Caenorhabditis elegans: one gene and its partners. The protein of the gene in region 3 purifies or fractionates together with the protein of the main gene of each other region. This does not show direct contact. Each region holds a gene or a part of one and is shown on either strand. Other genes may lie near its edges. The genes, in order: F53F1.2, apg-1 and unc-101.

The links.
Region 1: the proteins of unc-101 (region 3) and F53F1.2 fractionate together in Caenorhabditis elegans (co-fractionation; one large-scale study listed by BioGRID). This does not show direct contact.
Region 2: the proteins of unc-101 (region 3) and apg-1 fractionate together in Caenorhabditis elegans (co-fractionation; one large-scale study listed by BioGRID). This does not show direct contact.

Annotation. Positions count from the first base shown.
Region 1 is NC_003283.11:13,402,898-13,412,083, forward strand, and holds F53F1.2 (NADP-dependent oxidoreductase domain-containing protein), read left to right. Parts: upstream 1-3,918; 5' UTR 3,919-4,026; coding exon 4,027-4,230; intron 4,231-4,313; coding exon 4,314-4,557; intron 4,558-4,607; coding exon 4,608-4,777; intron 4,778-4,827; coding exon 4,828-4,917; intron 4,918-4,959; exon of another isoform or gene 4,960-4,969; coding exon 4,970-5,155; 3' UTR 5,156-5,344; downstream 5,345-9,186. Other genes in the region: cutl-1 (ZP domain-containing protein), read right to left, coding at 1,134-1,384, 1,679-1,978, 2,315-2,405, 2,466-2,615, 2,664-2,902, 2,949-3,117; F53F1.3 (NADP-dependent oxidoreductase domain-containing protein), read left to right, coding at 5,345-5,518, 5,566-5,687, 5,744-5,933, 5,984-6,079, 6,550-6,639, 6,703-6,882; F53F1.4 (uncharacterized protein), read left to right, coding at 8,213-8,301, 8,412-8,640.
Region 2 is NC_003279.8:14,402,081-14,412,103, reverse strand, and holds the start of apg-1 (AP-1 complex subunit gamma), read right to left. Parts: upstream 6,077-10,023; 5' UTR 6,062-6,076; coding exon 6,000-6,061; intron 5,938-5,999; coding exon 5,733-5,937; intron 5,687-5,732; coding exon 5,562-5,686; intron 4,763-5,561; coding exon 4,066-4,762; intron 2,588-4,065; coding exon 2,327-2,587; intron 260-2,326; coding exon 1-259. Other genes in the region: tcab-1 (WD_REPEATS_REGION domain-containing protein), read left to right, coding at 6,455-6,550, 6,599-6,819, 6,866-7,022, 7,071-7,232, 8,027-8,162, 9,486-9,694.
Region 3 is NC_003279.8:12,506,749-12,519,365, forward strand, and holds unc-101 (AP-1 complex subunit mu-1-I), read left to right. Parts: upstream 1-1,550; 5' UTR 1,551-1,806; coding exon 1,807-1,848; intron 1,849-1,902; coding exon 1,903-2,059; intron 2,060-2,740; coding exon 2,741-2,939; intron 2,940-3,538; coding exon 3,539-3,810; intron 3,811-4,034; coding exon 4,035-4,164; intron 4,165-5,198; coding exon 5,199-5,568; intron 5,569-6,054; coding exon 6,055-6,153; 3' UTR 6,154-6,672; downstream 6,673-12,617. Other genes in the region: asah-1 (Acid ceramidase subunit beta), read left to right, coding at 149-342, 554-763; mter-4 (Mitochondrial transcription termination factor family protein), read left to right, coding at 6,771-6,905, 7,082-7,169, 7,614-7,702, 7,840-7,904, 9,772-9,967, 10,368-10,454, 10,685-10,885, 11,123-11,197 and 1 more; K11D2.4 (C2H2-type domain-containing protein), read left to right, coding at 12,446-12,550. UniProt on the Caenorhabditis elegans protein: Component of the adaptor complexes which link clathrin to receptors in coated vesicles. Clathrin-associated protein complexes are believed to interact with the cytoplasmic tails of membrane proteins, leading to their selection and concentration.

The DNA of each region.
Region 1 (9,186 bases), on a different chromosome or scaffold from region 3:
GGGAAACATCGAAGCAGATGGTGTAGTAGTGAACCCTCCTGTCGGGTTCGAAAAAGAACTATAACTGAACGGGAGGGAAGCGGGGGGTAGTAAAGTTGATTGGTACTCTGTCAGTGTCGGTATTGTTGGGTGTTGTAAATGGTGAAAGGATGGGTGAGTTTACAACTACACCCTCAAGACCACCATCAAGGTTAGGGTAAAGTAGGTTATGTAAACGTTTGAATTTATGTTACGCAAATGTTTTGTTGTAATGCAGATTTTGATGCGTCGACACTGGGGATGTCTTATGAGAAATTCAGAAAATCGGTTCGAGTTTTTCAAATCCTTATCACGAATTTGGAAAAAGTTGGATAAGTTGGTTTACAGCATTTTTATTTTCGATGTACGGATTTTCTGCGATTGCCAAAGTTTGGAATTTTGGTAATAAGATGTTCAACAATTTGGCTATAGAGTTCGTTTTTTTTACAAATGATAGACAGAAAGTTTGAAAAAATGTAGTTATTATTAATAGGTAGTTATGACTGTCATTAAAAATTATAACAATCTTGATATTTTGATATTTCTTATCAGCAATTCGAAAAATGATGAATAACTTGATAGTTTGGCATTTGCGCGAGTTTTAGAATTTTTGAAAATTGAATTGCCGCCCACTCATGATACAGATATCGTTTCAATATACTAATTTCGGAAAAACTTGATATTTCCCTTCAAAGGATCACAATATTTTTCTGAGTGGGTCTCACAACGATCTCAGCAACAATGGTTGTTAGAAGCTTCAAATTTTAAAATTGTTCATTCAAAATGAAGAATAAGAATGAAATTTCATATACTTACTTGTAGAGAGAAGGTCAGGAGTTACAATTAAACATGTATGTATAGCTTATGTAACTAATTTAAATAATTTTGTCTGAAACTCGACTTTTTACAACTTCCGCAATACGCCACGAATCGTTATCTTGATTACATGAATAGTTTGAAAATCAATCACACAGTTTAGATTGTGTGATCAATCACTTGTCATCGTCGTCTAATGACGGTGATGGATTCTGTTGAAATAGCCTACTAATTAAAAATGGTTCATTTCGAAAAAATAACAGTGGTTTTAAATGGGAAGGGATTATTAAAGATATGAACTATATTTTTGGAGAAATAATAACTGTAACTACTGATGTCAAAATTAGTATAAGAATGTAGAAAAGGAGAAATGGAATAGACATTGTCGACAATAAAACACAAGATTCAATAATTTCAATTGAATTTGTTTGAATATCAAAATGATAGCTAACAGAAAATCGTGTCCTAACATCCGTAATTTGCTCATCCAGGCTAGTTTCTGATCGTTTAGCACGTTGATTAAAAGAAACTTGTGTCTTTTGAGAAAAACCTGAAAACATTTAGAAATGTGTTTATTACGTTAGAGTTCTCGAAAATTTCAATCAAAGTTTTTTGTATATTACCGAATTTTCAAAATAGAACATCAGAAAAACACTTTTTAGGACGTCGAAGTAATGACTGGTGAAAACTGGGTTTTCCCTAAAACTGCAACAAAAATGTCACAGTTTCTGAATAGCTTTATTGTGATAGTTGGTAATTCCAACAACATACATATAAGGAGATTTAAAAAATGTCAAAAATGAATTTTTTTGCCAAATGTTCACTAAATTTTTCGAAATCATACCATATGGAGGTGGCCCAACAACGGGTGCTCCACCGCCTTCTACATCTTCACATATTGGTCTCACGCATTCCTGGTCTGGCTCTTTGACGGTAATTGATATCTGACACTGGAAGAAAAGAGCATCTCGATCAGCAAACTTATACACATGAGCTTCTTGCCCAGCGAGTAAGTTTCCCGGATACTCAAGGTTCGACAATAGAAACTTATCAATTGAGCACCCATTCGAGTCTATGAGAAATGAGGTTTCACCTCGTCCATCGTCAACAGAACACGTGTGAACTACCATGCAGAATGAGTCTTCTGAAAACAAACTAAGAATCGTTAGTCCCATGATTTGACTGGTTGCCTTAAATTTTATATTCTGTGTTCATTCATCCACGTATGCACGTTTATGCACAACCTGCTCCCGAAACGATCAATCTTATAAAATAATTACTTCTGCGAAAAATTGCGTGCGCATGTGAGGAGTACTGTAGTTTCCACACCTATCCTACAGTACACCTTGAAGCCGCACTTTGGTGGAATTATTTTATTTTTAGCTTAAGCTCTCACTCTCTTAATAAATATTAATTTATTTATTTATTTTTTTTTTTTTTATTTTTTTTTAAATCATACCTTTTATAAGAATTATCATACCTTTATCATTATCACACTTCCACTGATGATAAACCTGCTGACCTATTAAACCAAATTCTACAGGTTCACCGAACGGACCACCACTAAGGATCTTAAAGTTATACGTATACACGAAGCCAACCAGAAGAGATATTTTTAGTTTATGACGCACCTGATAAGTACAAGTTGGCATTGTCAAATTGACATTATAGCTTATTGTAGAGATTTCATCCACGGATATGTTGTTTGCAACAGTGACTTGGCTCTCCCGGTACAAGCACAACAAATTATAAGTTCTATCCACTTTTGTGATAAAATATGGCTGAAACAGAAAGCGATAAGGAAATATGTTTTATTATAAATAACTAACGTGAAATGAAATTGTGATTGTCGTTCGAACAGCAAGTCCCTTTGGATTCAATACTCGCTGTCTCAGTGCACCACATAATCCTATTTCAATTTCCAAGAAAGCTGAAAGTCTTCCAGTTCCTCTTGATGTACACACTTCTTCCGACGCAAAATCTTTAACAAAGATAACCCCAACAAATGGTTTTTCAGTTTTAATTTGAACTGATATAGTTCTCGAGTCACATTCAACTTGGACATCTCCTGAATATTTTGAAGCAGAGATAAATTTATTACTGAAAATAGTTACCGTATAAAGAATTTTGAATAGGAACAGGATTTACAGCCAGAGTAGCTAGGAGAAGCTGTAGGACAAGATGCATGTCTTCCAAATGACAATCATACTTTGATGATTCTGAGATCAAGAACCCTTTAGGAAAATAGTCCTCAAGTGTTCTTCTTATTTCTTTATTGTCCATATCTTAAACCGAGATATTAGATTGCAGAATAGGTTGTATCCAAGAATAGAGGGGAATTAATGGAGGAGCACTGTGAATAACCAGCTTTTATATTCCATAGAATTTTGGTTTCATGTTTATTGAAACCCTTTGTTTCAATATCAAACTGCTCCTGGAGGAATAATACTTTCCAACTTTTCCAGACATCTTTTCTTAAAAATTACCGTAATCAATTCCAACGATGCTCCGATATTTCGCAAGCGCGTGTTGTTTAGCCATTCCAAATAATCAACCAATTTTGTTTGTTTTTTGTTTTTTTTTTTAATTTATTTTATTGCTATTCGTTTTTTATTTGTTGTTTCATATATATATTAATTTTCCAAACTTGTCGTTAGTGTTTTGAATACCACAATACAATGAGGTTTTGCTATTTCCAACATTAATTCTCTGGCAAATCTCTGCGTCTCGCCCAATCCAAATTTTCGGTATTTTTTCGATGTAAAACAGAAAAGGAACTTTTAAAGTAAAATAATTTCGAATTCAAATAATGTATAGTTTTCTTTTCAAATTTTATTTTTATAATCCTCATGCTTATTGCATAATTCCAAACATCAGTTTCTCTGGCACCAATGAAACAAAATTCACAGATTATTTTTCTTAAAGAAAACTGTCCAAAGAACACTTTTACTTCTTTAAAAGTGAGGGAATAACTTTTGCTGTCCGCTCATTCCTGATGCGACTGACCTCGATTCAGGCCGCATCGACAAGTTGTCTCTTTCTCTAACCCCTTTGCATCTTTCTTTTTCTTGTACAATTCTTAGTCCACAGTCGGTATATGCCATTTTATCGTTCTAAATTAGAACTTCTAATCTTTCAAAACTTGCACTTTTTGCAATTTTCTCAGTGCTATATATTCAAATTCAGAGAAAAATGTCGGATTCGTTTGCCAATGTGCCAGGAGGATCACAAAAGCTCAACTCCGGATATAACATTCCATTCGTCGGATTCGGAACGTACAAAGTTACCGGAGAAAATGTTCCGCCAGCAATTGATGCAGCCCTCACTGCCGGTTATCGGATGTTTGACACGGCAAAGTATTATTTGAATGAAAAGGAATTAGGAGAAGCATTAAAGGTAAATTTTTATATTTTTATTTCAAAGATAAATTATGTTTACATTCTCTTTGTAATCAAATCTTCTTTATTCAAAATTTACAGATTCTCCTGCCTAAGCATGGATTATCTCGTTCTGATGTGTTCCTGACATCCAAATTCTTCCCAGAAAGCAAAAATTGTCGAGAAGCTTGCCGTGGATTTGTCGAAGAATCTCTACAATCTCTTCAAACCGACTATATCGATATGTATCTTGTTCACTATCCAAAACCGAATGACTCTGACAATGATGATGTGAATAACGCGGAATACCGGAAAATTGCATATGAAGTGCTGGAAGAGGCTAAAGGTTTGAAAATCAGAAATCTATTGGATTTTTCATTAATTTTATTATTTTAGCTGCTGGCAAAGTTCGTTCCATTGGAGTTTCAAACTATGAAATTGTGCATTTGGAAGAGCTCAAGACATACGCCAAGGTGCCGCCATGTGCTAACCAACTGGAGTATCATCCACATTTTGCAAGAATTCCACTTCAGAAGTACTGCAAGGAAAAAAACATTTTCTTCCAGGTTAGTTTCGATATTCTGGGGAAAACTCGTTTTATATAATCAATTTACAGGCTTTCTCCTCACTTGCAAGACACGAACCAAAGTTAATTGAAGATCCAGTCGTCGTTGAATTAGCTAAGAAGCACAATACATCAGTTCCTGTAAGTTTAATTAATTCTCAGACTGTATTCAAACAATTATACCTTTTTTCAGCTTGTACTTCTCGCGTGGGCTCTCCGCCAGAATGTTGGTATCGTACCGAAGTCGGTGACCCCATCAAGAATCGTAGAAAACTTCAAAGTAATCGATATTGCTCTGACTCCAGAAGATATTCAATCGTTAACAGCTCTTGATCGTGGGCAGCACTACATTCGTTGCACCGGATGGCTCGTCAAGTAAATGGCTTATCAATAATTGCAGTTTATTTCATAATCATTTTTCCCACATTGTGATATTTCCCTCTTTCTTGTGACTCTAACATGAAATTGAAACTTTTTAATTGTATGACGTCAGTTTTCCACTCTCGCAATATTCCGCTATAATATCTTTAGTTTCGTTTAGAAAATTTTTTAAAAAAATTATTTTCAGATGTCCATAAAGTTGAACACTGGTTACGATTGCCCACTGATCGGGCTCGGAACTTATAAAATTATTGGAGATCAGGTTCTCCCAGTTCTCGACGCTGCTCTTACAGCCGGATATCGACTGTTTGACACTGCAAAAGTTTATAATAATGAGAAAGAAATTGGAGACGCATTGGAAGTTTGTACTCAAGCGTGACGGAATATTTTTAAAAATTCAAGTTTAAGATCCTTCTTCCAAAGCATAATCTGAAGAGAGAAGATATTTTTATCACTACAAAAATGCATCCCAATACCGTAGAAAATGTGAAAAAGTTGGTGGATGAATCGTTGTCATTGTTGAAAACTAGGTAAATATACTTAGCTCCTGCTCCAATTTACAGAATAATATTTTATCGATTTTCAGCTACATCGATATGTATCTCATCCATTACCCGAAGTCATTTGACTATGGAGACCAGGATCCGATGAACAAGACTCTACGAATTGCCACGTGGAATGATCTCTGGGAGTGTAAGAATGCAGGAAAGATTCGATCTGTTGGAGTTTCCAGTTTTGAAATTCGCCATCTGGAAGAGCTTAAAGATCTCGGAAAGGTATGAGTTACAGGCTCGAAATTATTTTCTAAAATCCAGCATTTTTGTAGAACTTTCCTCCATGTTGCAATCAAGTTGAATATCATCCACACTTCACGCGTGAAGAACTCAAAAATTATTGCAAATCAGAAGGAATCTTTTTTCAAGTAATTTTTTCTTACTTTTGAAATAAGCGAAATACAAACATTTCTCAAACGTCTGTTAAGAAGCTTTAAAAAAATGCAAAAATCAGCCTCTGAGCCAATCTTTTGAATTTCGCCTGAGAATGGCAAATAAATTGAAAAAATGTGTCTCAAAATTTTTATTTTAAACAGAAAAACAATAGAACATAATTTCTCGTTTTTTATTGCTATTTATTATGATTAAAATCGAAAAAATCGACAAAGAAAATATTAATTTAATTAACTAATTGTCCGAGAGGAGTACACGGCCGAGAATCACAAAACTCATTCACGCGCGAAATTCAAATTAGATAATTGTGGGGTCAATTTTCAGCTCTTTGAAGCCCAATAACTGAGTTTTGAGAAATATTTTTCAAGTCATAGTCACAAAGCCACAATTTAAAAACACGTGGCAACATTTTGGTTTTTTTAATTTAAAAACATATATTATTCAGGCATTTTCCTCACTTGCCAGACACAATGAGACCTTGTTGTCCTCGGAAATTATTACAAGATTGGCAGAGAAGTATCATGTTCCAAAAACAGTGAGTCAATCATGGAAAAACACAATTTTAAATTGGATACATAATCTAGTAATTTAATTTCAGACGGTTCTCTTGTCTTGGGCGACGAGTCAAAAAGTTGGAATCATTCCAAAGTCCACCAATCCGGAAAGACTCGCTCAAAATTTGAAAACAGTTCTGCTGGAAGAGGAAGAAGTGAAGAAAATCTGCAACTTGAACCTAGACAAGCACTACGTTCGAACAACTGGATGGCTTGTATTGTAGTGTTAAATTCAATTCCTATTAGATTCCTTTGTTATATAAAATCGTTGTTCATGTTCAATTGTTTCTTGTCGTAATAGGGGAAAGCGTAAAGTCAAACCAAGATGAAGTTAGGAGTATATCTCTTATCACACCCCACAAAGCAATTTCCGTTTTGCAACAAATTCTTTCGATCATTCAAGGTTGAACCTATCATTTAATTGCAAAGAGGATAATGTTTATCTCTTGTGCAGATAAAACGAGACTAAAAGTTTAAATACACTTTCCCAATGGCATGGGAAAACCGTCTACAGAAACGGATATCGAGATCTTTCGATAGTGAGAATATTTCAAAGAATAACGAACAATCTTGCATGTTTTGAATAAAATAAACTGGATAAATCATTTGAACAATTAGAAGCAACCACTGATCAGATTTCTAAGAACTTTGGGAGGTGATAAGAGCTGAAAAGAGGTTCAAAAATACGGTTACTAGTCTCGACACGAATGAAAATTGTTATAGGAAGTGCGCTTCAAGGAGCACAGAGAAAACAACAGGGAGAAGGAAACTACCGTACCTTAGGGCGAGCACTCCTTTTTGCAGTCTTCATCAAAAAATTCCATCGTGTCGAGACGGTTTTCTATTTTTTTAAACTTGAAGAATAATACAAGTTATTATAAAACTTTAAACTTGAAAATTTAGAATTGAAGCTTTATAAGTCTATGGAATACTTTCCCAGGTTTCTCAGAATCCAGTACATCGTAGTCTAGATTCCAAAACAATACTGCCACATTTTAAAGTTCCCATATCAATCATCTATTTTCTCATGCAGATTCCATTCTTCAACGCTTTCTTCCACATAATTTATTTCATCACACCGATCACATCATCTTCAGAAGCTTCAGACATATTATGTATTGCGCCAGAACTTGTACCATTGCACTCATCTCGCCACATTGACCACCCAACACATAACATGCACTTTTTTCGATTTAATCACTTTTGCCTTCGATTGTTCGTAAGAGTCGTCAAGGGAAACGCTTGCGTAACGAAAACGTGTCTCTGATCTGGGTGCCCGTTGGCGCGCCACACAAAGCCAGAATTTGATGAATTATCGGCGACGATAAGCTTTCGCCGAAAAAATTACGTGTACAGGTGTCACTGACACTGTCTATGTTCTCTTCTGGAGGGCGGAGTCTTCAGAGTATTGTTTCAAAGTTTCGTGACTCTCCGTGGTATGCACACTGTCTCAAATACGTTCAGGTTTTGCCATTGGGAAATGAGTGAGTGTATAAAAGGTTCGAAAAAGGTTAGGAAAAGTATAGTCCTCTTTTGACTTTCAACATTTTCAACATGCAAAAGATTGTCATTTTCTTCGCTGCTATCGCTGTTTCCCAAGCTTTCCTTCTCCCATCCGGAGGAGGAGGAGGATGTGGATGCGCGTAAGTTAATGTTTTAAAAATGCTTCATTTCTTTAATTTTTAAAATCTCCCAGTCAAGTTTAAGAACTAATATTTTAAGCTCATTGATCTCAATATCCTTATATTTCCAGTCCACCACCACCACCACCACCATGCGGATGCGGAGGACCATCTCTTCCACCACTCCAACTTCCACGCTTTGAGCTCCCAAGACTCTCTCTTCCATCCTTCGGAGGAGGTGGTTGCGGAGGACCAGCTCCATGCGGAGGAGCCGCCCCAGCCTACGTTGCCCCACCACCAGCTGCCGGATACGCCGCTCCACCACCAGCCGGAGGATACGCTACCGCTGGACGCAAGTAAACAGTGTGAACAAGACGAATAGGAATTATTTACTGCATTTTTCGAACTTATTTTAATATTTACGTCACTTGTGTGTTTGTACATCTATGACAATTTCACCTCTCATCATTCCAATCGTTCTCAAATTTTGTCACCTGTTCAGCAATTTCATACCAAATAAATGGTTTTTTCTCTAAAAAAATATTATCGGTTCAAACCTTACAGCAAGAAATATCAAAGAGAATCGAGGTTGAGAACACACTGTTTAAAACACAACAGATTGTAATAAGAGATAAATTCTATCCCTCCTTTATCAGTCGAGATACCTGCGTTCTGGAAATTTAGTTCAATATGTCAGGATTATCACCGTCGAAAGCTATTCCAGATTCCTTAAACCTGCACTTTCCACTATAACAGCTTAAAATATCAGGCAATGTAATGTCTTGACAAAAGATATCAAATTGAATTTGAAGAATTGTCTTTACACTGACATTTAGGGTTTCAATGGTATTCAAGTTATTCCGTATTTCGTCATTTTTGGAAAGCATAAGCTAACCCATATGATCT
Region 2 (10,023 bases), 1.9 Mb from region 3:
CAGACGGAAGAACCGATTCAAATACTCCGACAACATCATTTTCAGAGATTGGAGTACTATCAACGTCTGTTGGTTGAAGTAACAAATCTCCAAATTCTCCAATTGTCCAGAAAGCTACTTGAAGCAGTGGTTGAGCATTGATTGCATCTTTTTGAGCGGCATGGTAAAGCTGGGATACTGCATAGCTCTGCAGTTGCTCATTCGCCGAAATCATTTGGATCATACAGGAGACCACCTCGTCAGGAACGTATTTTCCGGCCTGAAAATATGTTGGATTTTTCTTCAATTTTTTAAGGAATTTGCTTTTAATTATAGAAAATTCACCGAATATAATTGTGAAACAATTTATAAATTTTTTCAAAAATTTTTTTTTAAATTTCTCAAAAAAAAAATTTTTATCGGTTATATTTTTTTTTTCTAAATTTTCAGAAATTTCTAGGCCAATTTTTTTTTTTTTTAATTTGAAATAATTTTTCCAAAAAATTTAAAAAACACGAAATTGTGACATTGAAACATTTTTTAATCAAAAATTGGTTGAGGCTCAGCGATTTTGTAGTTTGTAGTGTGAGCCTCACTCATTTTCTTGGCGTATTTTAACCATTTTATAGAATTTTTAGGCAAAAAAAAACTGAAATACGCGTTTTTGACAATTTTTTTCGGGCATAAACCTATTAAAACCGATTTTTTTTTCTAAATTTTCGGCATTTTCCCAACTTTTAGCATTAAAAAGATAGCTTTTGGGCCAAAAATGTATGTTGTCAGCGCAATTTTTTCCATTTTTGGAATTTACTAATTTATTTTAAATTAAAAGGCATATTAATGAAGAGAAAACACAAAAATGCGCCATTCGAAAATTGAAAAAAAAATTGGTTGAGGCTCAGCGATTTTGTAGTTTGTAGTGTGAGCCTCAACCAATTTTTGTCGGCGTTTTTTCTAGTAAAATCACATTTTTAATAATTTTTTTTTTGGTAAATTAAACAAAAAATCGTTACAAAATGAATGAAAATTCAGAATTTTTGAAAAAAAAAAATGCATCGAATATAATTGTGAGAAAAATTTAAAAAATTTTTCTAAATTTTTCGAAAATTAAAAAAAATTGACATTTATTTTTCAACATTTTTCATAATTTTCGGCAAAAAAAACTGAAATACGCGTTTTGCGAATTTTTTTTTTGACAAAAATCGATTTAAAAAAAACTTTTTTTTCTGAACTTTTGGCATTTTCAAAGCTTCTAGCACTAAAAAAGTAGTTTTTGGGCCAAAAATGTGTGTTTTTAGGAATTTTTTCTCCAAATTTTGGGTACTTACTAATTTATTTTAATTTCAAAGACATATTCTTTAAGAAAAAAAAATAAAAAACACAAAAATGCGCTATTTAAAAATTTGGAAAAAAAAATAGGTTGAGGCTCAGCGTTTTTGTAGTTTGTAGTGTGAGAAAAATCGCAACTCTTATCATTAAAAAGATAGCTTTTCGGCCAAAAAATGTGAGTTTTCAGCAATTTTTTCTAAATTTTCGGGATTTACAAATTTATTTTGATTTCAAAGACATATTATTAAAGAAAGCAAAAAAAAAAACACAAAAATGCGGCATTTAAAAATTTACAAAAAAATTGGTTGAGGCTCAGCGTTTTTGTAGTTTGTAGTGTGAGCCTCACCCAATTTATGTCGGCATTTTTTTTCAATTTTTTAAAGGAAAAAAGTCATAAAATACGTATTGTGTGTTTAATTTGCGCGGGAAGAATTCAAAATTAATTCAAAAAAAAAAATGATTTGGGACAAATTTCCGTAATTCTAGCTTTGCAAAATTGTAGTTTGTAGCCACTAGCCTCAACCAAAATTGATTTTTTTCTCATTTTTCGGATATGAAGTTTTAATTTCAAAAAGGTCAGGAAAATCTAAAAATTATTCGATTTTTTCTACAATATCGGATAATTTTCCTCATTTTTACAATTAAAAACTCGAAAAACCACGAAAAATCAAAATTTTCGCCTATTAATTCATTTCGAGAGACTACAAACTACAACTTTTTGAGCCTCAACCATTTTGTAGTTTGTAGTATAGTCGTTTTTCTGCAAATTTGATAAGTTTCGGAATTTAACATTTAAAAAAAATTTCCCGTAAAATTTATATAAAAGACAATCAATAAAAGTTAGACTACAAACTACAATTTTCTGAGCCTCAACCAATTCTGGTTGAGGCCCAAAATATTGTAGTTTGTAGTCTGCTTCGATTTTTCGTGAGATTTCTAGTTTTTTGGACTTTTAGAGCCAAATTTCGCCAATTTTATCCATTTTTTCAAGGAAATTTATCCAAAAAAACTACCGTACCAATCTAAGTACAGTAATCATCGTATCCAAATGCCATTCATGATTCGGCGAATATCTTTCCGTTGCAATATACATTCGTGAAGCACATTCCGATTTGAATTCAGCGTCGGCGGTCTCGAGGAAAATGAGCACTTCTTTCGTCATTATTGCGATATTTGTACGGTTCATCAGAGCAAAGCAGAGCTCCATTGCACGTTTTCTGATCGAAATATCCGGATCTTTGAGACATTCAACGACTACGTTACGGTGACGTTGTACGGCCTGAAAAAAACATTGAAATTAACAAAAAAAACTCGGGAGAAAATTATATATTTTTAGGTTAAAACTGATTAGAAATTTCTTTTTAAAAAATGGTTGAGGCTATAAAATGTGTAGTTTGTAGTCTATAAACTAAAAAAAATTTATTGTTAAAGCTCGATAGAAAACGTAAAATTTGAATTTAAAAAAGGAATTTAAAGTTTCCAAAAATTCTTAATATAAAAAATTGAGTGAGGCTCACACTACAAACTACAACTCCACAGCCTCATCAAATCTGGTTGAGGCTAGAAAAAGTGTAGTTTGTAGTGCGTGAGCCTCAATCAAGCTACAAAATTCAAAAATTCGTTGAAAAACTTGATTTTCCGGACAATTTTCATTAAATTAGGTGATTTCCATGTGGAAAACTCATCATAAAATTGAAAATTTTGTATTAAACGGAAAAATTTTAATAAAATAAACAGAAAATGAACTGAAATTGGTTGAGGCTCACACTACAAACTACACATTTCTTCAGCCTCCCCAAACTTGGTTGAGGCTAGAAAAAGTGTAGTTTGCAGTGCGTGAGCCTCAACCAATTATCACTTGGACAGTTTGGCCTGCAAAATATGAAATTTTATGAAAAACTGGGTTTTTTTGGGGGGAAAATTGTACTAAAAAAGCTAAGTTTCACGTTCAAAACGGAAAAAAATGAAATTGAATGAGGCTCCCACTACAAACTACAACTCCACAGCCTCTAAAAACTTGGTTGAGGCTAGAAAAAGTGTAGTTTGTAGTGTAAGCCTCAACCAATTATTATTTACACAGTTTGAGCTGCAAAATGGAATAATTTATTGAAAAACTGATTTTTTAGGCAAAATTTTACTAAAAAGCTAAGTTTCACGTCGAAAACGGAATAGAAAACTAAAAATAAATTTGGTTGAGGCTCACACTACAAACTACAACTCCACAGCCTCATCAAATCTGGTTGAGGCTAGAAAAAGTGTAGTTTGTAGTGCGTGAGCCTCAACCAAGCTGCAAATTTGTCAAAAAACTTGGTTTTCCGGACAAGTTTTAGGCGATTTTCATGTTGAAAACTGAATTTTCAAAATTCTGTTAAAATAAACAAAAAATGAACTGAAATTGAGTGAGGCTCACAATACAAACTACAACTCCACAGCCTCCCCAAATTTGGTTGAGGCTAGAAAAAGTGTAGTTTGTAGTGTGTGAGCCTCAACCAAGCTACAAAATTCGAAAATTCGTTGAAAAACTTGTTTTTCTCGACAATTTTTACTAAAACATGCGATTTTCATTTTGAAAACTCATCAGAATAATTTTTTAAAAAATTCTATTAAAATTAACAACAGAAATAAAATGAAATAAATTTAGTTGAGGCTCTCACACTACAAACTACACACTTTTTCAGCCTCAACCCACCGCCAAAACCTCAATTTTTGAGCCAAAATCGCCATTTTTTCCTTTTTTTTTTTTCCACAAAATCCAACCTGATAATCAACATGAACAGTCTTCAGAAGCGTATTCAACGCCACATATCGAATATTCTTATCCGTATTCAAAAGGAATCGTCCAAGAATGTTCACAGCCAAAATGCGCAGGCCACTCTCGCTCTTAATCTCCATAATCGTGAGTACAGTCTCATAGAGAATCGCGTTTCCGACATTTTTCGCCGTTTCCGTATTCGTTGCCACTTGCGCCAGAATATCATTCATCTCTTCAGTGACACGTACGTCATCCTTCCCCAAAACTCTCAATAATCTCAGAATTTTGACCTGAAGGAACGGGTCAGAGATGCCGGTGACGTCGTGTTCCGGCGAATATCCACTCATTAGAAGATTCTTTAGAATCCGTACCAAATTCGGCACCAATTTCTTAAAATGATTCAAGACATCCGGAGATTTCTCGCACATTTCTGTGACCAAAGTCGTTGCGCCCATCAAAACTCCGTGATTTTTCTCTCCCAGAAGCGATCGGGTACATGGAATGAAGACTTCCATCAGCTCCGGCACTTTTCGAACGATACGGAACGCACAGAGCGCCGCTTTTTTCTTTAAATACGCATTGTTCTGCTTGATGATCTTCTCAACCTCGTTGGCCAGGTCTCGACACATTTCCGCTGAGCAAATTGAGCCCAGAGTGCAGAGAGCTAGTCCGCTGACGAATTGGGTGGAACAGGTGAGGTCGCTGGAAATGAAGAATTTAGTTTTAAAAAATAGAGTTTTCCGCGGAAATTGGGATTTTTTGCTTTTATTGTATCGAAAAATAGTGAAAATTCGATGAAAAACATTGAAAATGAGCAAAATATTAGTTGAGGCTCAGGCTACAAACTACAACTTCTGTCAGCCTCACCAAATTGGAAAACAAATCGTTTAAAATTTGGATTTTTAGCAAAATTTTCACCTTTTTTGCTCAATTTCCGGATTTTACAACCAATTTCTCTATTATTTCGTCGAAAAATAGTGAAAATTCGATGAAAAACATTGAAAATGAGCAAAATATTAGTTGAGGCTAAGACTACAAACTACAACTTTCTGTCAGCCTCACCAAAGTTGGAAGAAATCGTTTTATATTTGGATTTCTAGCAAAATCGTGAATTTTAAAGCAAAAATTCCAGTTTTTAGAACCAAATTCACTAATTTTAGCTCGAAAAATAGTAAAAATTGATGAAAAATCACTAAAAATGAGCAAAATCAAGTTAAAAATCTTGGTTGAGGCTTAGGCTACAAACTACAACTTTTGTCAGCCTCCCCAAAGCTGCTGGTTGAGGCTAAAAAAGTTGTAGTTTGTAGTCTACGCCTCAACCAAAATAATAATTCTTCGGATTTTTTTGTTTTCTATAGCATTTTTTACTGTAAAATCTCATTTTTGCATTGAAAATCCTTTAAAAATTGCTTTTTCTTCAAAAAATCAAATTTTGATGAGAAAAATCGCAGAAAAAAAGCTTTTAAACAAGATTTTTTCATTTTCATGGGTTTTTGCTAACTTTTTAAGCGAATTAGTGACGAGCATATGAACTTCCGATCGTTCATCGAGAAGAAGCATAGCTCCAAGATACCCAATTCGTTTGTCAGTGAATCGGGGGTGAGCCACCAGTTTCATGCACTCCATCTGAATAACAAATAATTTAATTTCCGGCGAAAAACGGTTCAATAACCTGTCCAAAATGCGCTGGGTAGCCGAGCATATGAATATAGAGCAATTTCGCGATATTTCTACATTTCCACGGAGAATCATCGTCTCGGAAGCTTTCTCGAATATTCGCACTTTCTCTATCCACCACTGCTCGCTCTTCAGCCATCGTTCGTGCCGCTCTGACCTGCCGAATTAGGTCTCGAAGCCGCATCGGAGTGCCGAGAGTTCTGAAAAAATAGAATTTACTGGGGAAATTTCGCAAAAATTTGAGTTTTTTAATGTTACAAACCTTCCAATCTTCGACTTATACTCATCGATCTTCTCAATGGCTAGCTCGACAGCCGTCGCCATCCTTGGAGCCTCACCCTGCAAAAATTCCTCATTTTTTGACGTTTTTTTTGGAGTTTTTTAGTTTTTTTTACAGCTCAGCAGTGAAAGTAAGTGGAATAAGTGAAATAAACGACGCTTATTAGTGAAAAAATGAATTTTTTAATCAAAAAATCACGAAAATCCACTAGAAAAAGCTGAAAAATCAGTGACAACACTGCAATTTTATTGATTTTTTGCATTTTACAATCCAACGCAGGGGGCGAGTCCGCAATTGCGCGTGAGGTCTGGTGTGGAGGTACCCGATTGCAGACCGTAGTAGGGGGAATTTAATTTTTGTTTTTTTTCTTTTTTCAATTTTTCGATTAAAAATCACTGAAACTTGAACTTTTCGCCAAAAAAATCGATTTTTTCCAGATGAACACCGAAGAATCGTCGTCCTCACAAGAATTGGAGGAGAAAAAACCGTCTCTCCGCGCTGAAAGATGCGGGATAGCGTCGCTTTTGTCTTCGGTAATTAAATTTCACTTGTTTTCCAAAGAAAAACCGCTTGCTTTTTAGCTCCGCAGTGACCATCTTGCGTCGAAAATCGATGAGCTATCGACCACAGAGGCTGCTGCTTCAGAAGAAATTCCCGAAGAAATCCCAGAAAACCGCCCATTAAATCGAAAAGAGAAGCGAAAACTCCAGAGAATGCAGGAAATTGACCAAGAAGTCAAGAAAAAAGCTCAAGAACCTGTAGAAATCGCCGAAATCCCCACAAATCTTAAAAATACATTTTGGTATCTGAAAATTCGAATTTTAAGTCAAAAAATCTGAAATTTTCAGCGATAAAGCCACTTTCAACTCGTACAACGCTCAATTCGGCTATAAATCAACGGAAAATAATAATTTTGTGCACTTTTCCATTCAAAATGAACAGGGAAACCGGGCTCTTGTGGCTTCACAGGATAGATTTATAAGAATGTATAAAATAGATGAAACTGTCGGTTTTTCTTCCAAAATTTCTGTAAAATAACGCTAAAAATTGCAGCCAGAAGTGATATGGAAGCATAATACGGGAAATTTGGTGCTGGATTCTTGTTGGGAAAACTCTGGAAAAGGGGTGTTCTCGTCGTCAAAACTGCGTCCAATTCAGCTATTTGATACGGAAAATGGAAGTATTCTCGGTGCTTATAATGGAAAAGATGCTGGGGTTGGTTTTTTTTTTTGCAAAAAAAAAAACGAAAAAAAAATGCTTAAAAATTGACATTTTTACATAAAAATCCAAAAAAAATTGGTTGAGGCTCAGAGACTACAAACTACAATTTTCTGAGCCCCAACCAATATTGGGTGAGGCTAAAAATAGTTGTAGTTTGTAGTCTTTAAAAGTAATTTTTCACTTTTTTTTCAATTAAAATCTGTTTTTTAATCAAATTTGTGCCAAAAACCTCTAAAAATAACTGAAAATTGCTAATTTTTTAAACAAAAATGCATTGATTGAGGCTCAGACTACAAACTACAATTTTCTGAGCCTCAACCAATATTGGGTGAGGCTGAAAAAGTTGTAGTTTGTAGTCTCTAAAAGAAATGTTTCACTTTTTTTCAAATTAAAGCTGCTTTTTAATCAAATTTGTGCCAAAAACTCGAAAAACCACGAAAAATTAAAATCTTCGCCTATTAATTCATTTCGAGACTACAAACTACAACTTTTTGAGCCTCAACCATTTTGTAGTTTGTAGTATAGTCGTTTTTCTGCAAATTTGATAAGTTTCAGAATTTAACATTTTAAAAAAATTTCCCTTAAAATTTATATAAAAAACAATCAATAAAAGTTAGACTACAAACTACAATTTTCTGAGCCTCAACCAATTCTGGTTGAGGCTAAAAAAGTTGTAGTTTGTAGTCTAAGCCTCACCCAAAATCGATTTTCAACCGTTTTTAGTGATTTTTAAGTCAAAATTTCCCGTATTTTCACCAAATTAAACAAAAAATTCAATATATTTGCAGGACAATATCACTGCGGCGATGAGCATCGGACAAAGTGGAAGCTCATTGATAGGCGGATTCAAGAACAAATTTCAAATCTGGGATATCGAATATACAGGCGACGCTATTCAACATATCAAGTCATTTGATAATGATTGTGAGCAAAGAAATTTTATCTAAAATAGGATTTTCCAGAGTTTTACAAATTTTTTGCCTGAAAAATTATTGTGACGTAAGTATTACAGAAACTGAAAATTCTGAGAATGCGTATGGGACAACATATTTGACATATCTATATATCTCGTAGCGAAAACTACAGTAATTCTTTAAATAGGTACTGTAGCGATTATCTCGATCTACGGGCTCGATGATGGTTATATATATATATATATATATAACCAGCCGCTGACCGCGCCTACGGCGCGGGCAACGACTGGCACCATTAAAAGTATTTGACACACATACACTTCCAGAATTTTCTCGATTTTTCTAGAAAGTTCTGGAACATTCCAGAATTTTTTCGAAATTTCTAGAAGATTCTAGATTTCCAGAATTTTAGAATTTTGAGAAAATTTAAATTTCCCGCCAAAATATTTTTCTCAGAAAATTTAAATTTCCCTCCAAAATTTTTTTCTCCGAAAATTTAAATTACCCGCCAAAATATTTTTCACAGAAAATTTAAATTTCCCTCCAAAATATTTTTTCAGAAAATTTAAATTTCCCTCCAAAATATTTTTTTCAGAAAATTTAAATTTCCCGCTAAAACATTTTTCGCAGAAAATTTAAATTTCCCGCCAAAATTTTGGGTCTTACCACGGTGGGTCTCACCACGACGGGTCTCACCACGATGGGTCTCACCTCGATGGGTCTCGCCACGATGGGTTTCACCACGAAGGGTCACTCCAGAATTTTCTCGATTTTTCTAGAAAGTTCTGGAACATTCCAGAATTTTCTCGATTTTTCTAGAAAGTTCTGGAACATTCTAGAGTTTTCCAGAAGGTTCTAAAGCTTTTCAGAATTTTCCAGAAGGTTCTGGAACATTCTAGAATTTTCCAGAAATTCCCAGAAGGATTCCCAGAAGGTTCTGGAACATTTCAGAATTTTCCCGAAGTTTCCAATTTCCCTTCCGAAGACGGAAAGTCAATTTTTCCCAAACTACAGTAATCCTATAGTACTCTTACAGTACTCCTACAGTACTACTACAGTACCCCGACCATATCCCACCACTAACCGCAAACCTATATCTCTTCAAAAGACAAAAACTCAATTCTTCCTAAACTACAGTAATCCTACAGTACTCCTACAGTACTCCTACAGTACCCCGACCATATCCCACCACTAACCCCAAACCTATTTGCACGTCAAATGTGTTGTCCCGTACGCATTCTCAGAATTCAGTGTTCCCGTAATAATAAGTACGTGATAACGAAACTTTTAAAATACAAGAAAATTTTAAAAAAATCAATAATATAATTTCCAGACAACACAGGAACAACGGGACTTCCAATGTCGATAACTCCACATCCAACAATGCCTGACCTATTTGCAGCTGGTGGAAGTTCATCTCTAGTTGCAATTTATTCATTAAAATGGAGAAATGCTGTATCGACGATTGAAGGATCACTGAAAGGATACACGAATCTACATTTCTCTCCTGATGGATTAAAGCTTTATGCTTCGGAGAGAAAAGTTCGATTTTTAGTTATTGAATATTGTTTTAAAAATTTTTGAAAAAAGTTATTCAAAATGTTTTAAGGTGAAAAAAAAAATTTGAATGTAAATTTGGAAAATAAAAATTTGAATTTTCGTAACGAAAATTGACTGAAAATTTCTCAAATATTTTAAATTACCGCCAAATCTCAGATCTCAGAAAATGATCTCAGAAAATTTGAATTCCCGTCAAATTGGTTCTCTCAGAAATTTTGAATTTTCCGCCAAAATGTTTTTTTTTCAGAAAATTTAAATTTCATCAAAAATTAAAATTTTAATTTTCCGCCGAAATTGTTTTTTTTTTTTTA
Region 3 (12,617 bases):
TTCTTGATGACTTAGATCCTTAGAATTCGGAAGCTTTGATTTCCAGGAAGCTTAGGCTTAGATTCAAGTGTCCCTAATCTTTGCTTCTAATATCCATTGGGCTAGATCCGTCTGAGATCCATAAAGGCTCTATATCCCGAGCTTTCAGCCTACCTCGACGCCAAGGAGCACTTGATGAACACTCCAATGCTCTCACCAGTCTACTTCATTCTCGGAGGATCCAAGAAGGACGAGGGATGCATCATCGCTAGAAGTCTCGACAAGACCGCACTTCTCACCGAGATGGCCACATCCCCACACGGATGGTACCTGTTGGAGACCAACTACGATCAGGGAACCGAGGTGAGAGATGCTAGAGTTGAAGGTGTAGAGTAGGTTCTGGTAGACGGATCTAGGGGCCCAACTTTTAGGAGAGGTCCTTCTCTAGGCCTAGGTCTAGTATTTTGAACCCAGCTTCTTTTTTTGAGTGGGTCGAACTCCTAGCTAGAAATTTTGATCAAAAATCTGTCAAAACCTATCCGGAATTAACTTATCCAACATTTCCCTCTTCCAGGACCTCTACCTTGACGACCGTGACACTCCGGGATTCCGTTGCATGGACAAGTTGACCCAGAAGAACGTCGGATTCGAGGGAATCTTCAACGTCTTGTCATCCCGCACCAACCTGAATAAGCTCACCACCTACACCGTCCTCATGTCCGTCGAGACTTCTCGCTTCGAGACCATCCTTCAATCCTGCCCGGGAGAATGCTATCCATGGTAGATTGGATTCAACATTCTCATATACGCAATGATTCATTGAAATAAACTTTCATTTTTGTAAATAAACTTTGATGGGTTCTTGTTTGAAAACGAAATTTTCATAAAATTTAAAAATTTTAGAGTTTTTTGGTTTTTTTTAAACAAAAATTAAAAATTTTAATTTTCCCGCTGGAAAAAAATAATGAGTTACGGTAGATTTAAAGGCGCATGCACCGAAACTTATCGAGGTTACCAAAGTTATTGCTTTTTGTGGAATTTTACATTTAAAAAATAATTGTTTGCTAATTTTATGGTTTTTCGTCGTTTTTTCGTTTCTAACCAAGTTTTCCTCCTGAAATTCAAATTTCGTCACAATTTTATTAAAAATGGGATACGGTAGATTTAAAGGCGCATGCCTAAATATTTCTTCTGAGTCTCGTAGCGATTGGTGGTTTTGTGGAATTTTCTACTAGAAAAATGAATTTAAACTGATTTTCCAGTATTTTTACACAAATTTTTTTTATTTCAATTCAATTTTCAAATTATTCAATTCAATTTTCTGGCGGAAATTGCCAGTTTTTGTCATTATTGTCCAATAAAATAAGGTACGGTAGTTTTAAAGGCGCACACCTAAATTTTGCTCCCTTGGTTTCAGTTTTGAATTTTTAAAATAGAATTTTAACCGATTTTCGTCGATTTTCACTTAATTTTTTGCACTTTTCCGACGAAAAAGTCGATTTTTTGCAAAATTCGGTATTTTTCTCCATTTTTTCGCGAAAAAACCGCTATAAACCAAATTCTCCACCTTTTCCATCCAATTAATCCGTCTCCAAGGCCTCCTGCACCGCTGCTGCCGCTCCGTCACTCGCCGAGAGAGTATATAAAGTGAAGAGACTGCAGACTGCAAGAGGGCGTGCCCGCCAGCAGCCGATATCCATCTTTGCACTCATTTTCTTCGATTTTCCTCCGTTTTCCGCTAATTTTCTCCGGATTTTCAGTATTTTCCAGTAGCTGCCACGTGGAATTTGACGATTTTAACGAGAAAATCGCAAAAAATCGTCGAAAATGGCGACTTCCGCCATGTTTATACTGGATTTGAAGGGAAAAGTGAGTTTTTTAGTGTTTTTCACGTCGGAAAATGCCAATTTTCGCATTTTTCAGACGATAATTTCTCGAAATTATCGCGGAGACATCGACATGACGGCAATCGATAAATTCATTCATTTACTCATGGAAAAAGAGGAAGAAGGCTCGGCAGCGCCCGTTTTGACCTATCAGGACACGAATTTCGTGTTTATCAAGCACACAAATATTTATTGTGGGTTTTTTGTGTGAAAAATTGAATTTAAAATCAAAAATTAGATAGAAAAATGGCAAAATTGAAGAAAATCCGTTGAAAATGACGCAATTGGTCAGAAATTTGAATTTTCAAGCCAAAAACCGATAAAAAGTGCAATTTTTTGTGGTTTTTAACATTTTCAAATTGAAAATAACGTTTTAAAACTAAAAAATGAGTTGAAAAACAGTGAAAAGTAACAAAATCCCTTGAAAATAACGGAAAACCCAAAAAAATTCAATTTTTTGATTTTAAAGTCAGAAAAATTCAAAAATTCCTTGATTTTCTGAATTCCCGAGTGCTAAAATTCAAAAAAAGCCGAATATTCGTAAAAATTGACTAAAATCAATAAAACTGCGATTTTCGTAATTTTTCCATTTTGTAGTTTATTTGAAATGTGGTAAAAATCTTAAAAAAGGAGCAAAATTGTTTCAAAAATCAAGCTTTTCTGCCAGAAAGTCGATAAATTGCGAAAAATTCGTCATTTTTCACACTTTTTCGACATATTTTCACGATTTTTGAGCCAGAATTGTAAATTTCCGGAAATTTTCCCGCCGACAGCGGGTGCAAGCGCGCTCCAATGATAAAACACCCATTTTTAACGGATTTTCAGTCATTTTCTCCAGAATTTCCAGTCAAAAATTCAAATTTCCCTCATTTCAGTGGTCTCAGCATGCCGTTCAAACGTCAACGTCACAATGATTTTGTCATTTTTGTACAAATGCGTCGAAGTTTTCTCCGAATATTTCAAAGATGTCGAAGAGGAGTCGGTTCGCGACAATTTTGTCGTTATCTATGAACTTTTGGACGAAATGATGGATTTCGGGTTCCCACAGACGACTGAGAGTCGAATTCTACAAGAGTAAGGAGGAAAAACGAGAAAAATTGAAAAAAATTACTCAAAAATTCGAATTTCCCGCACGAAAAATCGTTTCATTTTCTGCTGCAAATGCGCTCCAATGCGAAAATAGCCAAATATTAGCGTTGGAGCGCATTTGCAGCGCGCGATAGCAGTAATTTTAAATTTTGGGTCAAAATATGTATTTTCGACCCTAAAATTTTGAATTTCCAATCACAAATGCGCTCTAATGCAAAAATCGCAAAAAATTTACATTGGAGCGCATTTGCAGTGGCGGGGAATTCAAAAATTCAAATTTTCCTGTTCAAAATGTGTCTTTTGTCTCGAAAATTTGAATTTCTATTTGCAAACGCGCTCCACTGCGATTATTTGCACTGTAGCGCGGTTGCAGCTGGGAAATTTGAATTTTCATTGAAAATTTCAATTTTCTCGCATTCAACATGCAGCAAACGCGCTTCAATGCAAAAATCGCAAAAGTTCACATTGGAGCGCAATTTTCCTGTTCAAAATGTGTTTTTCGACTCGAAAATTTGAATTTTTGTGCAAAATTATCATCGATTTTTCCTCAATTTTCAATCAAAAAACCCCCCAATTTTTTGCAGATACATCACACAAGAAGGTCAAAAACTAATTTCGGCACCCCGTCCCCCGATGGCAGTGACAAATGCCGTCTCATGGCGCTCTGAAGGCATAAAATACCGAAAAAACGAGGTTTTCCTGGACGTAATCGAAAGTGTGAACATGTTGGCCAGCGCCAACGGTACCGTACTTCAATCGGAAATTGTTGGAAGCGTTAAAATGCGTGTCTATCTTACCGGAATGCCTGAACTTCGGCTGGGTCTTAACGATAAAGTACTTTTTGAGGGCAGTGGACGTGAGTTTTTTCGAATTTTATGCGAAAATTGAGATTTTTCAGGCAATTTTACCCTAAAATCGATAAAATTTTGTTAAAATTCAACAATTTTAAAGTTTTTAGCGTTTTTCAATTGCGCTCCAATGCGACTTTTTTTAAATTTTTGCAATGGAGCGCGTTTGCAACTTGAAATTCAAACTTCCTACCGCTACAATCGCGCCCCATTGATAATTCTCGATTTTCAGGCGGAAAAAGCAAATCTGTGGAACTGGAAGACGTGAAATTTCATCAATGTGTACGCCTGTCGCGTTTTGACACGGATCGAACGATCTCCTTCATACCGCCCGACGGAGCATTTGAGCTTATGAGCTATCGGTACGAAAAAAGTGGAGAAAATCGGATTTTTAACCGAAAAATCGAGTTTTTCGCATGATTTTGACGGAAATTCAGTGATGTGGCCTAGTTTTTTCGAAAAGTTAGGCCACCGACTTCTAATCTGTGGCCGAAGTTTGATTTTGTCTATTTTTTGGCTTAAATACTCGATTTGAAAGCTGAAAATGCCAGAAAATCCTAGGAAATGCCAATTTACCCACGTGGCCTAGGTTTTTTGGAAGTTAGGCCACCATAGCCTAGTTCGTGGCCGAGTTGTAATTTCGAGTTAATTTCTGCTTTTTTATGCCAAAAACGCTCGAAAAACAATTATAAGGTGTAGAAAATACAAATTTGCTTACGTGGCCTAGGGTTTTCCGGAAAAAACTAGGCCACCAAAGGCCGATTCCTGTTTTTGGGTTCTTTTAGGTCAAAAAACTCGTTATTCAGACGAAGAAGAGCTCAGTAACATGAAAAATTCTAGAAAAATACAAATTTGCATACGTGGCCTAGATTTTACAAGAAAGTTAGGCCACCACTGGCCAATTCATGGCCGAACTCTATTTTTTGGCTAAAAACTCGGCTTCTTTACTACAATAGCTCGATTTTTCTGTAAAAACACGTTAAAACTGTAACAAATGGAACACGTAACATGCAAATTTCCACTCGTGGCCTAGTTTCTCGCAAAAGTTAGGCCACCACTGATCAGTTCGTTGCCGAACTCTATTTTTTGCTGAAAACTGTGTGTCTGGATCAAAATTGTTGGTTTTTCTTAAAAAATAAGTCAAATACACCTGCGGCCTAGGTTTTCGGGTAGAAAATTAGGCCACACCTTAATTTTGAGTCTAAAAAGTTGATCACTAGGCCAAATTTAGCTTGAAAACACTGAAAAATAAAAAAAAAGCAAATTTACATGCGTGGCCTAGGTTTTCAGGTAAAAAGTCAGGCCATGCCTCAATTTTGTGTCGAAAAACTCGATTTTTACCTCAAAAAGCTCCAATTTTTCCTGAAAATTCTCGAAAAATACCGTTTTTTTTCAGATTAACAACCGTGGTGAAGCCGCTGATCTGGATCGAGACAAGCATCGAACGTCACAGTCACAGCCGTGTCTCGTTTATAATCAAAGCGAAATCACAATTCAAACGGCGCTCCACTGCTAATAACGTGGAAATCATTATTCCAGTCCCGTCGGACGCTGATTCACCGAAATTCAAGACAAGCATCGGTTCGGTGAAGTATACGCCCGAGCAATCGGCCTTCGTATGGACTATTAAGAATTTTCCCGGCGGAAAAGAGTACCTTTTGACCGCCCATCTATCTCTACCGTCTGTGATGAGTGAAGAGTCTGAAGGACGGCCGCCGATTAAAGTCAAATTTGAAATTCCGTATTTTACGACCAGCGGCATTCAGGTAGCCGAATTTTTCGCTTAAAATTCGACTTTTTAGCTCAAAAATTCAAATTTCCCACCGCCAAAAACTGCCCAATTTTGAGATTTATGTAATTTTTTCGCTCTAAAATGCTGAAAATTTCATTTAAACACATGATATTATTTAAAAATCCGACTTTTCAACTAGATTATTTGAATTTCCCGCCGACCGCATGTTGCAAGCGCGCTCCACGGATAAAACTGCTCAAAATGCAGATTTTTGTGATTTTTTTGCGTCAAGATGATGCAAATTTCTCGAAAAAACCTAACATTTGACTTTTTAACTCAAAAATTCAAATTTCCCGCCTACCACATATTGCAAGTGCGCTCCACGGAGAAAACGGCTCAAAATTGAGAATTATGTGATTTTTTGGTGTTTAAGGGTGATAAAATCTTCTAAAAAAAAGGCTTGAAAATTCAATTTTTCCCATAAATTCCACCAAGTAAACCCTAATTTTCAAATTTTCAGGTCCGTTATCTGAAAATCATCGAGAAAAGTGGATATCAAGCATTGCCGTGGGTCCGCTACATTACTCAAAATGGAGAATACGAGATGCGGATGAAATAATTCCTGAAAAAATTACCTAAATTCATATTTTATTGTATTTTATTCCCAATTTTACTCTTAATTTTTGGAATTTTTTATGAAAAATTGGTGAAAAACGACCGTGGCCGAGTTTTTGGAAAATTTGGAGGTCTAGGCCACCATGCTTCCAGTGGTGGCCTAACTTTTCGAAAATCCTAGGCCACGGCCCCGTTTTCCATCAATTTTTGCCTCTTTTAATGTCAAACATCTCCAATTTTTTCTGTGAAAATTTAATGCTCCGCGAGCTGCTCCCCGGCTCAAAACATGTGTTGTGTGTGCTCTTTCCCCTGATGACCCCGAACTCTATTTTTTTTTGTTCGAAAATTTTTATTTTATTTTTCCCACCGATTTATTTATTGATTTTTATCGCATAATTTAGATTTTTTCCAGAAAAACGAGTTTTTTCCCTTTCCCACCAGCATAATTTTCTCACCACATGGATCCTCATCAATTTTTCCCGTTTTCCTTTTTTCAGTAAATCAATAAATTTTCTGTCATAATTGTTTACAAAATGTTTTCCGGGGGCTAAAAATTCCATTTCAAAAATTGTCTAAATTTCCAGAAAAATCACTGAAAAAAATGCAAAAAATTGCCAGAAAATGCGCCGATTGTTGCCGATTTTTCGTCGAAATTTGCGAATTTCTGCATTTTCGCGTCAATGCACCACATCTGACGACACTTTGCGGACTTTTGCGCCAAATGCGTTGATGGATCGAATTGTGGACGATTTGAAGGTTCGGCAAAGCGGGAATTTGAAAATTTTGAAGATTTAGCATTGGGGCACACTTGCATCACGCTTTTATGGCGCGAAATTTGAATTTTTGCCCTAATTTTGGACTTTTTTTTGCATTGGAGCGCATTTGCATTAGCGGGAAATTCAAATTTCCAACTCTAATTCAATTTTTTCCAGAAAACTGGCACACATTTTGTGATTCCCGGTCGAGATTCCTTTGCCAGACAGGAATCGGCAAAAGTTTTCGAAAAACTTTTGGAAAATGGTAGGTTTTGCTAATTTTTTTTAGTGAAAAATTTGAAAAAACGAAAAATCGAGGGTTTTGAGCATTTTGACTCTGAAAAAACAAAAAAAACTAGATTTTGAAGCATTTTATCCGTGGAGCGCACTTGCAACATGTGGTCGGCGGGAAATTCAAATTTTTGAAATAAAACACGGAATTTAGGCGAATTTTATGTTTTTACAGACGATTTTCAAGCATTTTGAGTCTGAAAATTCGCAAAAATCCTGATTTTGGGCTGTTTTATCCATGGAGCGCACTTGCGCAATGTGGTTGGCGGGGATTTCAAATTCTTGAGTTAAACTATATTTTTGAGCGTTTTAACGTAGTTTTCTTTAATTTAAAGCCATCTTTCACCATAATAAATCAAATTTTCAGTGATTTTTCAGACATTTATCGATTTTTCCTCAAAAATCCCACAATTTTCAGGTGTAAAATGCGAATTTCTGCTGGATGCGAACACAAAAAACGCCACACTGTTCCGTACAATTGTCTCACAGCCTGGCGCCTCACTGGAGGTACGTTTGGATGGGGTACTGTAGAAAAACCAATTTATTTTTGGGAAAAAATTTTTAGAGAGAGGGGAGAAATTTCGCGGAAATTTTTGATAAGAACGGATAATTGAGATAAGATGAGAAATTTTTGTTTTTTGCAGATTTTGGAGACGATTGTCAATGTTGGATATGTCACTTTTGAGGATGCGATTCGACTTTTGGCACTGTAAGTCTTTTTTTTGGAAAAAATTCGGATATTTTGAGGAAAAAAAATGTATTTTTCAAAATTATTTACCTAAATTTCCATATGGCTTTTTAAGAATGTGAAATTCAAATTCAGCTCGCCGAGATCTTTTGAATGACCCCCATCATGCCTAGGGAGGGTCTCGCCGCGAAAGTTTTGGGTCTCGCAACGAAAACTTGAGTTTAAAGGGAAATAGGGCATGATTATACTTAAATGAAAGGTCTCGACGCGAAAAGCTCTAAAAATTAGGTTTCAAAATTTCTAGGCCAACAGGTAGAAAGTTAGGTCACGATTTTTTCAATTTTGGCCTTGCAACAAAAATTGGAGCTTAAAAAGCTGGCGCATAGGGCAACGTGGCAAATTCAAAAAATTAGGCTTTGGAATTTCTAGGCCACTGGGTGAAAAGTTAGGCCATCAAAAGCCCCCGGCTTTGGGGTGTCATGTAAAAATACCTTGAGATCCCAAATTTTTTTCGCTAAAGTTTCCCAAATTGGAGAAAAAGTTGGTCTCGTCAATATTTTTGATGATACGACGGACGACACGAAACGGGTAATTAATCATACTCTCAACTCGCCCTTCTCACACCTTTCCTACAGTCATTTTTTCACACTTTTATCTTTTGATTCGCTATGAAACTTTCACTTTTACACGCCCTGAACGCTGGAGATGCGACGACAACGAGGACGATAATCATCAAAAATCCATTCATTTTTCTCACACATTTTCGCTCGCGCGATTTTATTTGATTTTATGATTTTCACGTAATTTTTCTATCTCGCTTCATAATTTATTTATCAGTTACATTTTTGTGGATCTTGTGTCACAAAAGTTGGGCCTCCGAGAGAAAAGTCTGAAAAAAGTTATTCCGAAATAAACACTTGGTGCCAGAAGTTCCCATTTTGGTTTGATCTACCTAGATCTACAAAAAATGCGGGAGTAGAGACGCAGAGTTCTCGGCTGACTTAGCATGGTTAAGAACGTGCTGACGTCACATTTTTTTGGGGGAAATATTCCCACATTTTTTGTAGATCAAACCGTAATGGGACAGCCTGACACCACGAGCTCGGCCAACGGCAATCGGTTTTCAACGTATTTAACTGAAAATTCGCCATGAAATTAAGTGTTCTAAAAACTTCTATATCTCAAAAACTAGAGCTGCTATCGAAAAGTTGTCAACTAGCAATTTGTTCCGCGAATTATAAGGAACAACTTGTTAGTTGAAAATTTACAGCTAACTTCTAATCCTGATGAGTTATCACTAGTTTAAGACCGTCAACGTATCGGCACTCGCCTATCATGAAGTTTTCATGTAGCGATAACTTTTCAATGACTAATGTTAGTTAAAAATTGTCAACTGGAAAGTTATTCCTTATATTCTGAAGATTCGTTTTCCAGGTGACAACTTTTTGGTAGCACTTCTAGTTTTGGAGATACGGGAGTTTTTCGGTTTCGTCTAGAAAAACTTTTATATCTCAAAAACTAGAGCTGCTATCGAAAAGTTTTCAACTAACAATTTGGTCCTTAGAATATAAGGAACAATTTGTTAGTGGACGATTTTTACCTAACTTCTAATGCTGATGAGTTATGACTAGTTAAAGACCGCCAACTTTTGGCACTCGCAGGGTTCAAGCAGCGATAACTTATCAGCAGTTGGTGCTAGCTGGAATTTGTCAGCTAAACATTTTTACCTTATGTACTGAGGTTCATTTTTCAAGTTGGCAAATTTTTGATGGCTCTCATGGTTCCGAAGTTACGGCGATTTTTTTTTTTGAAATTCGTTTCGAAAGTTCAACTTCCGTGTAAACAGCCAAATCGAATTAAACTGTTAGCCAATCTTTCGTGCTTCCAGCTTCCCGGACGATCTTCTCCGTCACGGATCCCCCAGCATCACCAAAAACATTGAAGCTCTCTCCGCCTGTGGTATCTCGACTCCCCGCACAATTGGCTCGGCAATCAAGAAATGCCCACCGTTGCTCTTCGCCCGGGACCCCCAGGAAATGCAACGACTGGCTCACGAGATTGGTGGATTTTTCTCCAGAAAGCAGGTGAGTGCACAACTTTTAATCTAAAGATTATAGTTAATGGCTTCTTAATCTTCCGCTTATAGCCCTAATCCCCACTTTCTCCCCGAAAAATCTCAAAAATCATTAGCTTTTGCATATTTTCATTGCAAAATTCGAATTCCTGCGCTATTTTTACCCCTATAAGCGTTTTTCTCCAGCTTCAACTCGTTGTTTTGAATTTCTGTGCATTTTTGCGTGAGCCTCGCGGTGTTTGCGTACTTTTGGCGCTACCGTAACCCGACATTTTGAAAATCAACACCAGGAGCTTAGCGAATATTTATTTAGAGGTAGAATTGGCTGAAAAATCCGAATTTCTCAGTTAAAATTTGCGAAAATCAATAATTTTCCAAATTTTCAAAAAAAAAAAAAAATTTTTTTACAGGCCGGTCATCTCATCTCCCGTTGCCCGCAGATTTTGCTAAAGCCAATTGAAGAAATTGAGGAGAAGTATGAGTACATGTTTTATCAGGTAAGACTCCGCCCACTTTTTGAGTCTCGGCGAGAAAATTTTGGGTCTCACCACGAAAAGTGCATTTTAAAGACACAGTAGGGCATGATTATACTTAAATGAAAGGTCTCAACGCGATGATTTCAAAATTTTAGGTCTTGAAATTTCTAGGCCACCAGCTGAAAAGTTAGGCCACGTAAACCATTTTGGCTTAAAATCGTCGGTTTCCAACCATTTTTCGCTATTTTCAGATGGGCGTTGAAGCTGATGACGTGGCAGAATGCATCGGTTGGATCGATATTCTCACGTTTGACGAAATCGTTGATCGCCACAAATTCCTGCTGGCGACCGGAAAATTCGCGACCCCCGACGCGAAACGGCCCCAAATTCGCATCGAAAATCCGAAATTACAGAGCATTTTGGATAGTAAGGAGGAGGATTTTGCTGTTAAAGTGAGGAGATGAGAATTTGGAAAATTTGCTGAAAATTTGAGAATTTTTTGTGAAAAATTGGGGAAAATCAACGAGAAATAGGGTTTTTTGGGAGAAAAATCGATAATATATCGATTTTTTCCACAAATTTATTTTAGTTTTTTATCGATTTTTGTGTTAATTTTACTTAAAAATTCCGAGCGGAAAATAAAAAATTCCCCGAAAATGCCAATTTTTTCAGAAATTCAACATTTTCAGGTCGCCCGGGTCACAATGGAGGAATGGATCGTTTTTAAGGCATTGCGTGTCAAGGAAACTATTAATGAGAAAAAAGTAACATTTTTTAGTGTGAAAATAGGAAAAAAAATCAATAATTTTAAATTTTTCTTAAATCTGAAAAAAAAAAATTTTTTGGAAATTTTTTTTTCAAAATTTTCAAATTCCCTTTATAATTTGCGAAAAATTCACAATTTCATATTAGGCTCCCCGAGCTCTTCAAAATGACACCAAAAACGCCTATTTTAGGTCTCGCCGCGAAAGTTTTGGGTCTCGCCACGAAATGTGTCCTTTAAAGGAACAGTAGGACATGATTATACTTGAATTGAAGGTCTCGCCGCGATAAATTTGAAAAATTATGTTGCGAATTTTATAGGCCACCATGTAAAAAATTAGGCCAAGGAAAAAAATTTTTTTTAGGAAAGTTCAGAAATTTTAAATTTTTTGCAATTTCCAGGAACGAAAATTCGAACGAATCAAGCCGTCAAAACGAAAAGCCTACGAAAGACGGCACAAGGAGCGTCAGGAGCTCGCCGAGCACGTTTTTGACGTCTCCCATGGAAATTAGCACCCGGTTTTCACGGATTTCCCTTCGTTTTTTGTTAATTTTTATTGATTTTTCGATAGATTCCGGTAGTTTTTATACCTAGCAAAATTGATTTTTCAAGTTTTTCGGAGATTTTTGACTCTAGACGGTTGATTTTTCGAAAAATTCCCGAAAAATCGATAATTCATTTTTTTCCTTGTTATTTATTGATTTTTCCATTGATTTTTAAGTTTTCTTGTTGAAAAATTTTTTAATTTTTACAAAATTTTATCGATTTTCTCAATTTCCGACAGGTTTCCCACCCTGAATATTTTTTGAGAATTTTTCTTTATTTTTTTTCAGTATTTTCAGCTTTTTGAGGTATCAAAAGCCCAGGGAGATACTCGAAAAATGCACCGATAGCCGACGGACAACTTTCGAGAAATTATTGATTTTTAGGGTGAGTTATTGATTTTTTCGATTTTTAAGAATATTTTTTCGCGGAAATTCAAAATTTGTATCATTTTCGTACTCAGCTCGCCGAGACCTTTCGAATAACACCCATCAGGCCTAGGCTCCACCCCCTTTGGGTCTCGTCACGAAATTCCGGGTCTCGCCACGAAAATTTCAGTTCAAAGACGCATAGGACATTATTATACTCAAATGAAAGGTCTCGGCGCGAGGAATTCAAAAAAATTGAGTTTGAAATATTCTAGGCCATCATGTAAAATTATAGGCCACGAATTTGTAAATTTAATTTTAAAAAATATTTTACAGAAATGTTCACCAACCCTGCGGACGATCCGAGAAGCGGCGTACATTCGCAAAACTTTCACGATTTTTCGATTCCCTGGTTCGAAGAGCTGATGATGCACCAGCAACAGGTAAACTGATGGCCTAACTATACACTCGGCTGCCTAGGATTCCAAGAATCATGCCCTAAGCACCTTT